Linked DNA regions of Callithrix jacchus. The protein of the gene in region 2 binds, or shares a complex with, the protein of the main gene of each other region. Links are inferred from orthologs where the notes say so. Each region holds a gene or a part of one and is shown on either strand. Other genes may lie near its edges. The genes, in order: SMARCD3, SMARCC2 and ARID2.

What was found.
Region 1: SMARCC2 (region 2) and SMARCD3 share a complex: the UniProt entries of both Homo sapiens proteins name them as parts of the BAF complex. The link is inferred for Callithrix jacchus from reciprocal best matches to the Homo sapiens genes SMARCC2 and SMARCD3.
Region 3: SMARCC2 (region 2) and ARID2 share a complex: the UniProt entries of both Homo sapiens proteins name them as parts of the SWI/SNF-B (PBAF) chromatin remodeling complex. The link is inferred for Callithrix jacchus from reciprocal best matches to the Homo sapiens genes SMARCC2 and ARID2.

The regions. Positions count from the first base shown.
Region 1 is NC_133512.1:96,964,378-96,968,121, reverse strand, and holds the start of SMARCD3 (SWI/SNF-related matrix-associated actin-dependent regulator of chromatin subfamily D member 3), read right to left. Parts: upstream 2,672-3,744; 5' UTR 2,261-2,671; coding exon 2,183-2,260; intron 1-2,182. Other genes in the region: uncharacterized protein LOC144578411, read left to right, coding at 3,035-3,151. UniProt on the Homo sapiens protein: Involved in transcriptional activation and repression of select genes by chromatin remodeling (alteration of DNA-nucleosome topology).
Region 2 is NC_133510.1:63,481,783-63,485,426, reverse strand, and holds part of SMARCC2 (SWI/SNF complex subunit SMARCC2), read right to left. Parts: intron 3,428-3,644; coding exon 3,358-3,427; intron 1,591-3,357; coding exon 1,515-1,590; intron 1,361-1,514; coding exon 1,229-1,360; intron 1,124-1,228; coding exon 1,008-1,123; intron 627-1,007; coding exon 502-626; intron 1-501. UniProt on the Homo sapiens protein: Involved in transcriptional activation and repression of select genes by chromatin remodeling (alteration of DNA-nucleosome topology).
Region 3 is NC_133510.1:29,645,215-29,648,958, forward strand, and holds the start of ARID2 (AT-rich interactive domain-containing protein 2), read right to left. Parts: upstream 2,811-3,744; 5' UTR 2,683-2,810; coding exon 2,591-2,682; intron 2,476-2,590; coding exon 2,382-2,475; intron 2,214-2,381; exon of another isoform or gene 1,411-2,213; intron 1,314-1,410; coding exon 1,216-1,313; intron 1-1,215. UniProt on the Homo sapiens protein: Involved in transcriptional activation and repression of select genes by chromatin remodeling (alteration of DNA-nucleosome topology). Required for the stability of the SWI/SNF chromatin remodeling complex SWI/SNF-B (PBAF).

The DNA.
Region 1 (3,744 bases), on a different chromosome or scaffold from region 2:
CTCATCTCAGCCACTCTGCTCCCTATTTCCCTGCTTTTGACCCTTGGGTCCCAAACCCCACTCTCCTCGGCTGGCTCCAAGTCTCCACACCCGGGATCTTCGCTGATGAAGCTGCCCCCATATTTGCTCCCAGAGTGAGGGCTGGAGGCAGGCAAGGGCAACCTGCTGGGGTGTCCCAGACCCCGCCAGGATTCCGATTGGGAGGACGGAAGCTGAGTTAGAGGTGGGCTGCCCAGGGGCCCTGGGGTAGGTCAGGGCAGTGACATTTCCATTCACATTTCCCTTCCTGTCTGCCCAGGTCAGCAGCCCCCTCCTCCTCTTCCTACCCCCACCCCAGCCAGGTCAGGAGTCAGGGTTCAGAGGGGGCTGTGGAGACTGAGAGGAGGCAGCTCCTCCTCCCTTGCCACTACCCCTGGGTGGTCAGATGGGGTGTAAATGAGATGCAAATGCATCCAGTGAAGTGTTCCAAACCCCACTTGTCCAGACTCCAGAAGGGAGATGGGGAGGGCCATAGAGAGTTTTTCGGGGCTGTGAAACAGAACGAGTGGGGTGGGATGGGGACGGGGACCTCGGGAACAGGAAATAGATAAGGGAGCAGGGGATGCAGACCCTGAGCCTGTTAACACCGACACACCACCCACCTCACCCCCAGGTGCGAAGAGGGCCCACCGCCCCCCAGCTTGCTGTTTCCCTTCCAACTGCCACCTCCCTCCTGGCCCTCCAGGCTCTGTGTCTAGCCCTAATGTCCTCCCACCTCCGTCAGCAGCTGTCTCTGCCTGTCTCTCCTGCAGTGAAACCTGCCTGTCCATGTGTCTGCTTCCCTTACCCCACCTGACCCTGTCACTCACGCCTTCAGGGTAGCAGCCCAGAATGGAGCCAGACCGGGCCGCCAGCATAGGTGGGGCACTGGGGCTCACAGCCACCCAAGAACTGAAGCTCTAAGTTGACCAGATGAAAAAAAAGTTCACGTGTACAGCCTCTCTCCCCACTAGATGGGCCATTTTAAAGAGGCTCCCACCAGCAGCCAGGTTAGGACTGGTAACGCAGCTGGCTGACATGGACACCTTGGGAAGTTACACCCAGGGGTCCCTGGGGCTGGAGGCCCCTCTCCCTGTCAGCTGCTCTCCCCAGTTATCAAGGCCAGGGACACTGGCTCATGTGCTGAAGAGGCCTTGAGAGGGAGGCTTCCAGAGCCCCCGAGAGCTGTCCCAGCCACCAGCTCCACCCCCACGAAAGGCCAAAATCCTAGGGACTCTGGCCTTACTGAGAAGGTGCCTTCCTTGAGGTCACAACCAAATTTGGCCATAGTAAACCCAACTGCTTCCTCTACATAGGGCCTCCACCCCCTCATCCATCCCAAGAGCCGCAGCCCCTGCCTCTCCCATTCCACACCCCTCCATACCCCTCCCAGTGGGGCCTACTGACTCAGCTGCAGCCTCCTGGGCTCCCACGTGCCTTTGCAGCCTGCCTGTGGCAGGACAGTACTCCCCTAACCCTTCAGTCTCTAGGCCTCACGTCCCCAATTCCAGCCCTTCCTTCACACCTTCCAGGAGTTTAGGACATCAGCTTCTGGTGGCTGAGCCGCCAAGGGGACCCTCAGAGTCCGTAACTTGGGGTAAGTCCCTAGAGCAGGCCTCTCCCCCACCCCGAGGCAGAAGCTCCAGAGCCCTCCCGCTGGGATGCAGAAGTCGCTCAGCCTGCGAGCTTCCCGCGACAGTGCCTCCAGGGTCACCTGCTCCTTGCTCTGGAGACACAAGCAGTGACACTGTCCCAACGGATGAAGAGACAGCCCAGCCCAGACTCTGCCATATCCCCATCCCCCACCCCCTCCCCGAGGGCAGGGGCAACACCTGGGCCCACAAGGAAAAGAACGGAAGTCAACCTGTCCACTACAGCGAGGACCCCCCACTTGGGGGGGGAGAGTCCCCAAGTCCCACCCCCACCCCTGACAAGAGCCATGTAAACGCCTCCCTTCCCCGCCTCGCGCCAGACCCGGCCGGCCGCCTGGCGACGTGTTCAGGTGCCAGGGCGCCGGCACGGTCCCGGGGCCGGGCCGTGGGCCGTGGCGCCCCCCGCTAGAGGGGTGGGAGAGCGGGAGCGCCCTCCCGGCCCCTCCCGATCAGCCCTCCATTCAGCCCGAGCCAGCTCACTCGCCCTCCCCCGCTAACTTTCCCCCACTCACCACCCCATGGACCAGAAACTCAAAAAGTTTGCTTTTCGTGGCTTTGCGCGCCCCTCCGGCAACTTCGTCCGCGGCCATCGGGGTGGGCTCAGCGGCTCCTCTCACTCTCTCTCTCTCTTCCTCTTTCTTTCCCTTTTCTGCCTTTTTTTTTCCTCCAACTCTCCCCTCTGAGTCCTGCTGGGCTCTCTCACACTTCTACTCGAGCGGAGTGGGGAGGGGGCCCCTTCAGGGCTGCCCTGACGGCCCACGGCCCACGCCGCCGCCGCCCGCCCGCCGCCGCCGCCGCGGCTGCCGCATTCCTGCACTGATAAGCCAGAAATAGTCCGGCGGCCCGGGGTCTGCCTGTTGACTCGGCGGGGACGGGGCCGCCTGCCTTTCCAAGCCCGCTGTCCAAACAGCGCAGATAAGCGGCGAGGCGCGCCGACCAGCCCGGCGGCGGGCGCTGGGCAGCGGCGCTGCAGCCCGAGGCCGCCGAGGGCCGCGGGAGGCGGCGCGGGGAGGGGACGCCAGGGGAGGCGGCGGGGGGTCGCCGGCCACCGGCTCTCGCCACAAATAGTTTCTCCGTCAGGGAATTCGCCGGCCGCGCCAGGCCGGGAACAGTCAGTTCCAACTTTCCCCCCAGCGGCTCCTGCTGCATTTCTGAGGCCCTTTCCCCAGAGACCTGGCAGGCCGAGCCGGGAAACACGGGCTAGCAGGAGCCGGGGAGCCCGGCAGCGAGGCCTCGCGCCTGCCCTGGGCCGGCGGCGGTGGGTGTGCCCGGGCGGCGGCGTGGCCCTGCGTCCACGGCTGTGTGTGCCCTTGTCTCGCACGCAGTGTGTGTCCGCGCCCTTTTGTGGCGTGGCTGCTCTGTGCATGCAGACAGACGCCCTGTCTGTGTGCTTCCCTCCACGACAGCCTCCGTGCGCGCGCGCCTGCGTGTGTGGCAGGACGTGGCCTGTGCCTTTCAGCTCTGTGCGAGGCTATTTCTGGGTATGTGAGTCTTTGTTTGTCGCTCTGTGAGAAAGTGAGGGCAACAGGGGAAGTATTTCGGAAAGAAGGACAGGGATTGTGCTCATGAGAACAGGAAGAGAACGAATGTGGGGAATGGCGCGGCGCCAGGGGGGTGCTGGGGTGGGTGCGTGGAGGGAACGAGGGAAGCCCGGCTTGGTTTCCTTGGGATGGGGGTGGACCCAGAAGAGTTGGGGCAGCTGGGCTGGGTATGGTGGGCCTGCCTCAATACCCCAGAGAGAGGAGTCTTGAAGCTGTGGTGTGGGGTGGGATGGCGAGGGAGCCCCAGAAGGGGCGTGTGGAAGGAGCTGGCAGTCCCTGGAGTGGAGGAGGGACCAGAAGGAGGAGGGGCAAATCCTGACATCCCCAGGCTGGGAGCCCTGGCCCTCCCGAGTCCCCCAAAGGCCACGCCCCTCTTTCCTCCTTCTGGGGGAGGAGCCTGTGGGCTTTGGGACATGGAGCCGTGGGCTCACTGCGAGAATCCAGGAGAGGGCAGGGCCATGCCTAGTGCCTAGGGGAGTTTGGTGAAACACTTATTTGAAGTTGGGCCCTGAAGACTGACAAGTCCTGACCCT
Region 2 (3,644 bases):
GCTCACTGCAACCTCGACCTCCTGGGATCAAGCAATTCTCCTACCTCAGCCTCCTAAGTAGCTGGGATTATAGGCATCCACCATCATGCCTGGCTAATTTTTGTATTTTTAGTAGAGATGGGGTTTTACTATGTTGGCCAGGCTGGTCTTGAACTCCTGACCTCAGGTGATCCACCCACCTCGGCCTCCCAAAGTGCTGGGATTACAGGTGTAAGCCACCATGCCTGGCCATGCTCAAATGTATTTTACTATCGAAAGCACATAATCGGAGTTTGGAGACAACTACTACCAGGCACAAAGCACAGTCCACAACCCAGATATGGATATAAACTTAGAGGATTTTCCATGGTAACAAATATAATTCTAATAACCAACTAAATTTAAGGAAAAGATCCTGTAGACTGTGAGGCAGACCTGAGAAATCAGCTCACTCAGGGTTTAGCAAAGGAGAGTCAGGACAGGGAGTGGGGCTGGATCCCAGGAGCTCAGCCTGTCCTGTACCTGTTTTGGGAAGTGTCACCTCTTCTACATTGGGGACTGGTGAGGGCTCGTCCATGTCCTTTGTCAGGTCTTCTTGCTCCTCTTCTCTGTGACCACGCTTTGACTTAGTGTAAGGTGTTGAGGGACTGGGAAGGAAAGACAGTGAAAGAGAACCCAGTCATCCTTGGACAAGAGTCCCTGGCAGTTGAAGTTCAAGGGAAGGGAAGTGACAGAGAATCCCAAGGGTAGAGTTGAGTACAAACAGAAACCAGTAATTACAGAGTAATGGGAAATGGCAAAGGCTTTTCATTTGATAAAGCTCTCTTTAAGTTTATGAGTGGGGCCAGGACCAGAACTAACAACTATGCAGCTAAAAATCTCCTCATCTTCCCTCTCAGGACACCTGTAGTATTATAAGGCACACCCAGGTCAGGGCCAGGTGGTTAAAGGAAGGGATTTGGCTTTCCTTCCTTCAACATGATACGGAGAGAATGGTGAACTCAGGGGCAGGCTAGGGGCTGGCACACCCTTTCTTAGCATTTTTCTTCTTTGCTTCTGGGGTTGGTGAAGGAGAGGGGGAGCGCTTCCTCTTCTTATAGTTTCCCCCCTTCTTGTCCCGTCGATCTGAATCTGGGCTGTTCACCTATAGGATGGAGAATCAGGACAAATGTCAGCATACAATCCCCAGTGAAGACTTTTTCTGAGACTTATGCTAAGGGCGCCTGGAAAAAAGAACAGGGTTTGTCACCTCATCTGTCAATGTCTTGGCTGAAATCTTCTTTCGGCGGGAGACAGGGTTTTTGTCATCATTTACTTCATAGTCTTCCTCATTCATCCATTCATTGAAGGTGTCAGTGTCCAGGATCCACTTTGCATGAACCTAAAGTACGAAGGCAGATCATGCCGCAGAGAAGCTCTGTCTGCGGAACCTTAACAGAAAAAGTCCAAGGACACAGGAGCCTCTGTTTCACTTCCAAAGAGTAGACTGGTCCTGGCATTCTTTTTTGGGAAGCGGGGGTACAAGAAAAACTCACCTTCCTAGGTTTCTCAGGAGTTGGAGCATCTTCCACAGATGCTTCAATTTCACTCGCTGGGATCCATGTGTCATAACTGCCGTGGGAAATTGGGCATACAGTAGAATCAATGAGATGGAGTTGTGGAAAAGTAAAGTGCAGATCTTTTACCCTTTTAATTTGCAGAAAGTATTGGGTTGTTGGCTTATTTTTTTGGTATTCTATTCATATAAAGTAATAAAAGCCCATTACAAAACACTTCAAAAATAGAGAATGAAAAGAATCGCCCTTACATAACTACTCTTGACACTTGTATATATATTTTTCACAGTAATTTTTTTTTTTTTTTTTTTGAGATGGAGTCTCGCTGTCACTCTGTTGCCCAGGCTGGAGTGCAATGGGGTGATCTCAGATCACTGCAACCCCTGCCTCCTGTCTTCAAGCAATTCTCCTGCCTCAGCCTCCTGAGTAGCTGGGATTACAGGTACCCACCACTGTGCCCAACTAATTTCTGTATTTTTAGAAGAGAAGGGGTTTCACCATCTTGGCCTGGCTAGTCTCAAACTCTTCCACCCGCCTCAGCCTCCCAAACTGCTGGGATTACAGGCATGAGCCACCACGCTGGGCCGGAGTTTTTGTTTTTGTTGAGACAGGGTCTCACTTTGTTGTCTAGGCTGGTCTTGAACTTCTGGCCTTTAGTGATCCCCCTGCCTTGCCCTCCCAAACTGCTAGGATTACAGAGTGAGCTACTGTGCCTGGTCCACAATTTTGTTTTTACATAGTTATAATCACATTGATGATATTTTACATGCTACTTTTTTTTTTTTTTTTTTTGAGACAGGGTCTTGCTCTGTTACCCAGGCTGAAGTGCAGTGGTGCAATCATGGCTCAACGCAGACTCAACTTCCTGGGCTCAAGCAATCTTCCAGCCTCAGCCCCCCCAAAAAGTTAGGACTACAAGTGCATGCCACCACACCCAGCTAATTTCTGTATTTTTTTTTTTGGAAACACAAGAATTTTGCCCAGATTGGTGTCAAACTCCTGGATTTAAACAACCTGCCTGCCGCAGCCTCCCCAAGTGCTGGGATTATAGACGTGAGCCACGGCACCCATCCTACATATTAGAGGGATGAGCCATGGCACCCAGCCTACATGTTTTGTTTTGTTTTGTTGAGACAGAGTCTTGCTCTGTCACCCAGGCTGGAGTGCAGTGGCGAGATCTCAGCTCACTGCAACCTCCCCTGCTCAGGTTCAACTGATTGAAGTGATTCTCCTGCCTCAGCCTCCCAAGTAGCTGGAGCTACAGGGACGCGCCATCACACCTGCCTAATTGTTTTTTTTTTGGTGTTGCTGTATTTTCAGTACAGATGGGGTTTCACCATGTTGCCCAGCCTGGTCTTGAACTCCTGACTTCAGGTGATCTGCCTGCCTCGGCCTCTCAACATGCTGGGACTACAGGTGTGAGACACCACGCCAGGCCTACATGCTACTTTTTGCAATGAATAATAACATTCACCTATAAATTATCCATGTTATTTCATATCACTTTAAAGGTTGCATAATAGCCCACTGAGTAGATATACAAATTTACTGAAACATTTTCCTACTGTTAGACATTTAGACTATTTCTAAGATTTACACTGGGATAATCATTTCATACAAAAAGCCTCAATCCTTTTAGGCTAAGCCTTGTCCAATAAGTCCAAACCTCCCCCAAGACAGAGGTTCACTTAATAGGGGAGAGGAGAACCAATTAAGTGACCTAAAAATAACTCTGAAAGAGTGGCTTCTTGCTTTGCTAGATATTCTAGGGCTTCTGGGTCTGGCTCTTATACTTAAACCTGCTCCAGGAACCCATCCTCACCTGTCAGGATAGTAGCCCCAGTGCAGAAGAACCTGCTTATCCCTCTTCATGACTGGTCGTACCCATTCCTCTGGGGATAGAGGCAGAGAAGGGAGAGAGATAAGCTAAAGAGGGACACAAAAAAATACTGTACATAAGCCCTAACTAAAGTGCTCTGCTGTTGTAGCAAGGGACTTGGTAACAGGAACTTAAGGAGGTAGGAGGATTCAAGATTGAAAGAGGAGCCCAGATACTGAATGGTAATCTTAGTCCTCTGCCTCCTACTCCAAGCCATCCATTCAAATTGC
Region 3 (3,744 bases), about 34 Mb from region 2:
GATTCAGCGCTTTATTTTAAAATGTGCTCTGACACAAATGCCATCACACGCAATAGATGACAACGAACCATATTTAATATTTTCTAGACTTCCTGTGTAACTCAATAACTACACAATAACTACTCCACAAAGTTCTGTGAACTCCAGCTTCAAGCCTGAAGTCAATCTAAGATAGCCAATAGAAAGTACACCTGTGCAATTATTGCATTTCCTGTTTCAGAATGTTGAATGTAACACATGATAACTGAATGCATCTGAAACAGTAATAAATGCAAAACTCAAATTATGCAGAAGCCACATTACAAAAGGCCTCTATTATCACTATAAAAAGCAATAAATACAAAAAATATCATTTTAGTTTTAAATAATACCAACTAACTTAGAATCCTCTAAAGTAAACATTAAAAATAATGCACAGCCTCATGATAAATTATATGAAAGGATTCCTAGAAGAAAAACTAGAAGCAAAAAAATAACGCTAAATCACAAAATATATCATCTAAACTGTATCGCATACCAACAGAATAAGAACTTTGTCAAATAAGCAGTCAAAAAAAAGAAAGAGGGAGAATGAAAGAAAATCCAAAGTATAGTATCCCACTTCATAGCATCCCCATTTTCCTAGAGATATAATAATCATTTTGAACGTTTTTAAGTCACTGGAAATTCAACAAAAAGTAATTCTCAAAACAATCCTGGTCACCTAAGGCACCAACATGTTATGCCATGCATTCATATTCTACTGAAAAACCTATTCAATGTCACTGTTCCAAACAAGAAGTTTCATTTAAAAAATAAAATCTGAAAGTCAGAATTTTTTAAACCAAAGAAGTTTCCAAAACAAAGAAAAAAAAATTTTCCCAAAGATTACAGTTTCATTAACTATCTTAACTCTTTTACTAAGCATCACCTTTCTTCCATTCAGTGGATATCAAGCGATCAATAACAATGTCACAAAAGAATGTTTACCAAGATGGGGGGTGGGGTGTCACCTGTAATGATTTTGTATGAAAAACGTAAACGATCCTAAAATTGGTAAGAAAAACTTGCACCTTCCTACAATCTCACTTTATTTATATTAAATGTGTCTTAGTCTAAAATGAACAAGAGCTTAGAACTGTTTGGTGTGCAAGGTTTGCTTTTGTTTTTGCCAAAAACAAATCTCTCCATAAGTCCCTTATTTCCAAATACTATGGAAAAGTCACTACTACTCACCGCAAGTAATACTGTTTTAAAGCAAAGGCAGCGTTAGAACAACTTCTGGGAAAGTTGAACTCTTCAACAATTTCTCCCCACTGATTCTTCTCAGAGACCTGGTAAAACACAGGCACACTTGTCTGAAAGTGAACAATCTAAAAAAACCTTTACCTAACTGAAATAAATACCCATTCTACAGAGATCTGTAGATACCTAAGGCATCAATGGTTGTTTCTGATCGATCGGTAAGGTAAGAGTTACTAAGCAAGCAAGGGCGTCTTGAATCACTGTTTTCACCAGACAGCCCTGTATTTAATACCACTTGTTTTGTTTGGGGGGGATTGGTGGGTTTGTTTTGTTTTTGAAGCCGGGACAATAACCAATCGCAAGTCCCTCTGTCGCCCCCTTTTAAATCTCAACGCGGTCCGTTTACACTTAAAAAAAAAAAAAAAAAAAGTTCAAAAGGATCAATACAGTTCCGGACAGCGACGTCCGCGGGTTCTGGGGGGGCCGGGGCCGGGGCCGATTCCGATCCCTCTCCCAGATCTATCCATCTCCATAGGCCCTTCTTTGAGGCCTACAGCTTCTGCCTAGCCTTGAAGCCTAAGATGGCTATTTGGAGACAGGTCCTGGTTTCTTTTGTTAGCTGTATAAACCGAGGGCGACGGGGCCGAGGCTGTGCCCCCGGCTGCCAGGATCATTTCGCAGCCGATTATCGATGTTAAACCTGCCCGCGCTAATTTTGAGTTGCACGAAAACTGCTCTGAGTCTGTGTGTCTCTGTGTCTCAGCCTGTGCTAGAGCGGCAGCGGCGGCAGAGCTGACGAGCGAGCGAGCGAACAAGCGAGCGGGCGGTGCGGGCGCGGGGCTCCGGCTGGCGCCCCGCACGCCCGCACTCTCCGCCGCGGCGCTCAGACCCCGCCGGCCCAACTGGGCACCGGGCAGGGCGCTAGCCGGCGCCGGGCCGCCAGCCCGCGGGAGCCCCGCGCCCGCCGCGCGCACGCGAGCCACCAGGCCAAAAACAGCCCCGCCGCCGTCCGCCTCCGTGCCACCGGCTGGGAGCGAAAAGAACGCCTTTTGCCCCCGCGGGCCACCCCCCCAGCCCCAAGCGCCCACTCTGGGGTCAAAGGAGACTTTTTGGAGGAGGCCAGTGAGAGGGAAATACAAATTAAAACTTCCACTCACCTTCGCGAATCCGCCTAAAGTAGTGACTCTGGTGTAGAGACCGTGAAGATCCAGCTCCTTCCCACCCACCGCAGGGATTTTTTTAAAAGGCGACCTGCGGGAGAGAGAAAGACCCGCACTTGTCAGCCGGGACCCCGCGCCCGGCCCGGGCGGGAGAGCCCCGTTCGCCCCGGCTCGCCCCGGCGTTGCCCCCCCGGTTCTGCTCTCACCCTCTGCTGTGGTGGAACTGCCGCAGCTCGTCCAGGAAAGCGAGTCCCTTTCTCCGCTCGTCCGGAGGCGCCTTCCCCGTCGAGTTTGCCATTATTTTTTCAAAGGAGGTTTTTTAAAAACCCAGATCGGTGTTTTAAAAGCGCCCCCCGCTCCCAGCGCTTCCTACCAGAGCCCGGAGCCCATTCCTCGGCCGGCGGCGGCGGGGCTCAGTCACGGGCCGGCGGTGGCGGCGGCGGCGGCGGCGGCGGCGGCGGCGGCGGCGGCGCAGGGAGGGAGGGCGGGAGGGGGAGGAGGAGGAGGAGGAGGGGAAGGAGGGAGCAGGAGGCCAGGGGGAGAGGAGGGAACGAGGGAGGGGAATTTCTAAAAAAGTTTAAAGAAATCGGAGCGAAACTAGAGGGGCAGGCGACTGCCGGATCCGCGCGAAGCCGCGGGGCGAGCGCGGCCCCCACCCCTTCCTTCCCTCCCTCCCTCCCCGCGGCCCGGCTCTCGCCCGCCTCTCAGCGCCGCCGGCTGAGGTGGCTTGGCCCGGGTACGCGATTCAACATGGTGCTGCTGCCGGGGGCGCGCGAGCGGGCGAGGGGCAAGGCGAGCCAACGGTGAGGGGTCGGGGCGGCCGGAGGCCCTAGAGTTTCGGCGGCGGCGGCGACAGCGGCCGGCCTGGGGCAGGCGGGGCTGGGGGTGGGGAGGGGGAGGTCTGTGTGGTTTGTAGAAAGCGGGGTGACAGCGTGTATTTCGGCCCAGGCTCCGCGGAGCCCTCGCACACATTCACGCGCGGCCTCGGCCGCTGAGGCCGGGGCGTCCCCGGGCAGAAGCACCGGCGGCAGCTGAGCCGCTGCGCGCCGCCCGCCGCCCGCCTGCTTCCCTCCTCGTCAGCCTCGGTCTCTGCCGCCGCCAGCGCCGCCGCCACGGCCGGGCAGCTAGTGCCGCACAGCGACCCCCAAAGGCCGGCCGCGGCACTGCGCCTGGCTCCACACCGCCCCGGCAGCTCCTCGCGGGGAACAATAGACTCGGCTCGCCGAGCTTAGGGTTCGTCTGCAATGTGCCGCACATTTCACACGCACACAAAGCCGGCGGAAAGGGGGGCGGCGCGGGGGAACGGCCACTACCGGTTGTTCCAGGGTTAGGGGTGGAGGCGATGTTCGCGTCCCTGGCC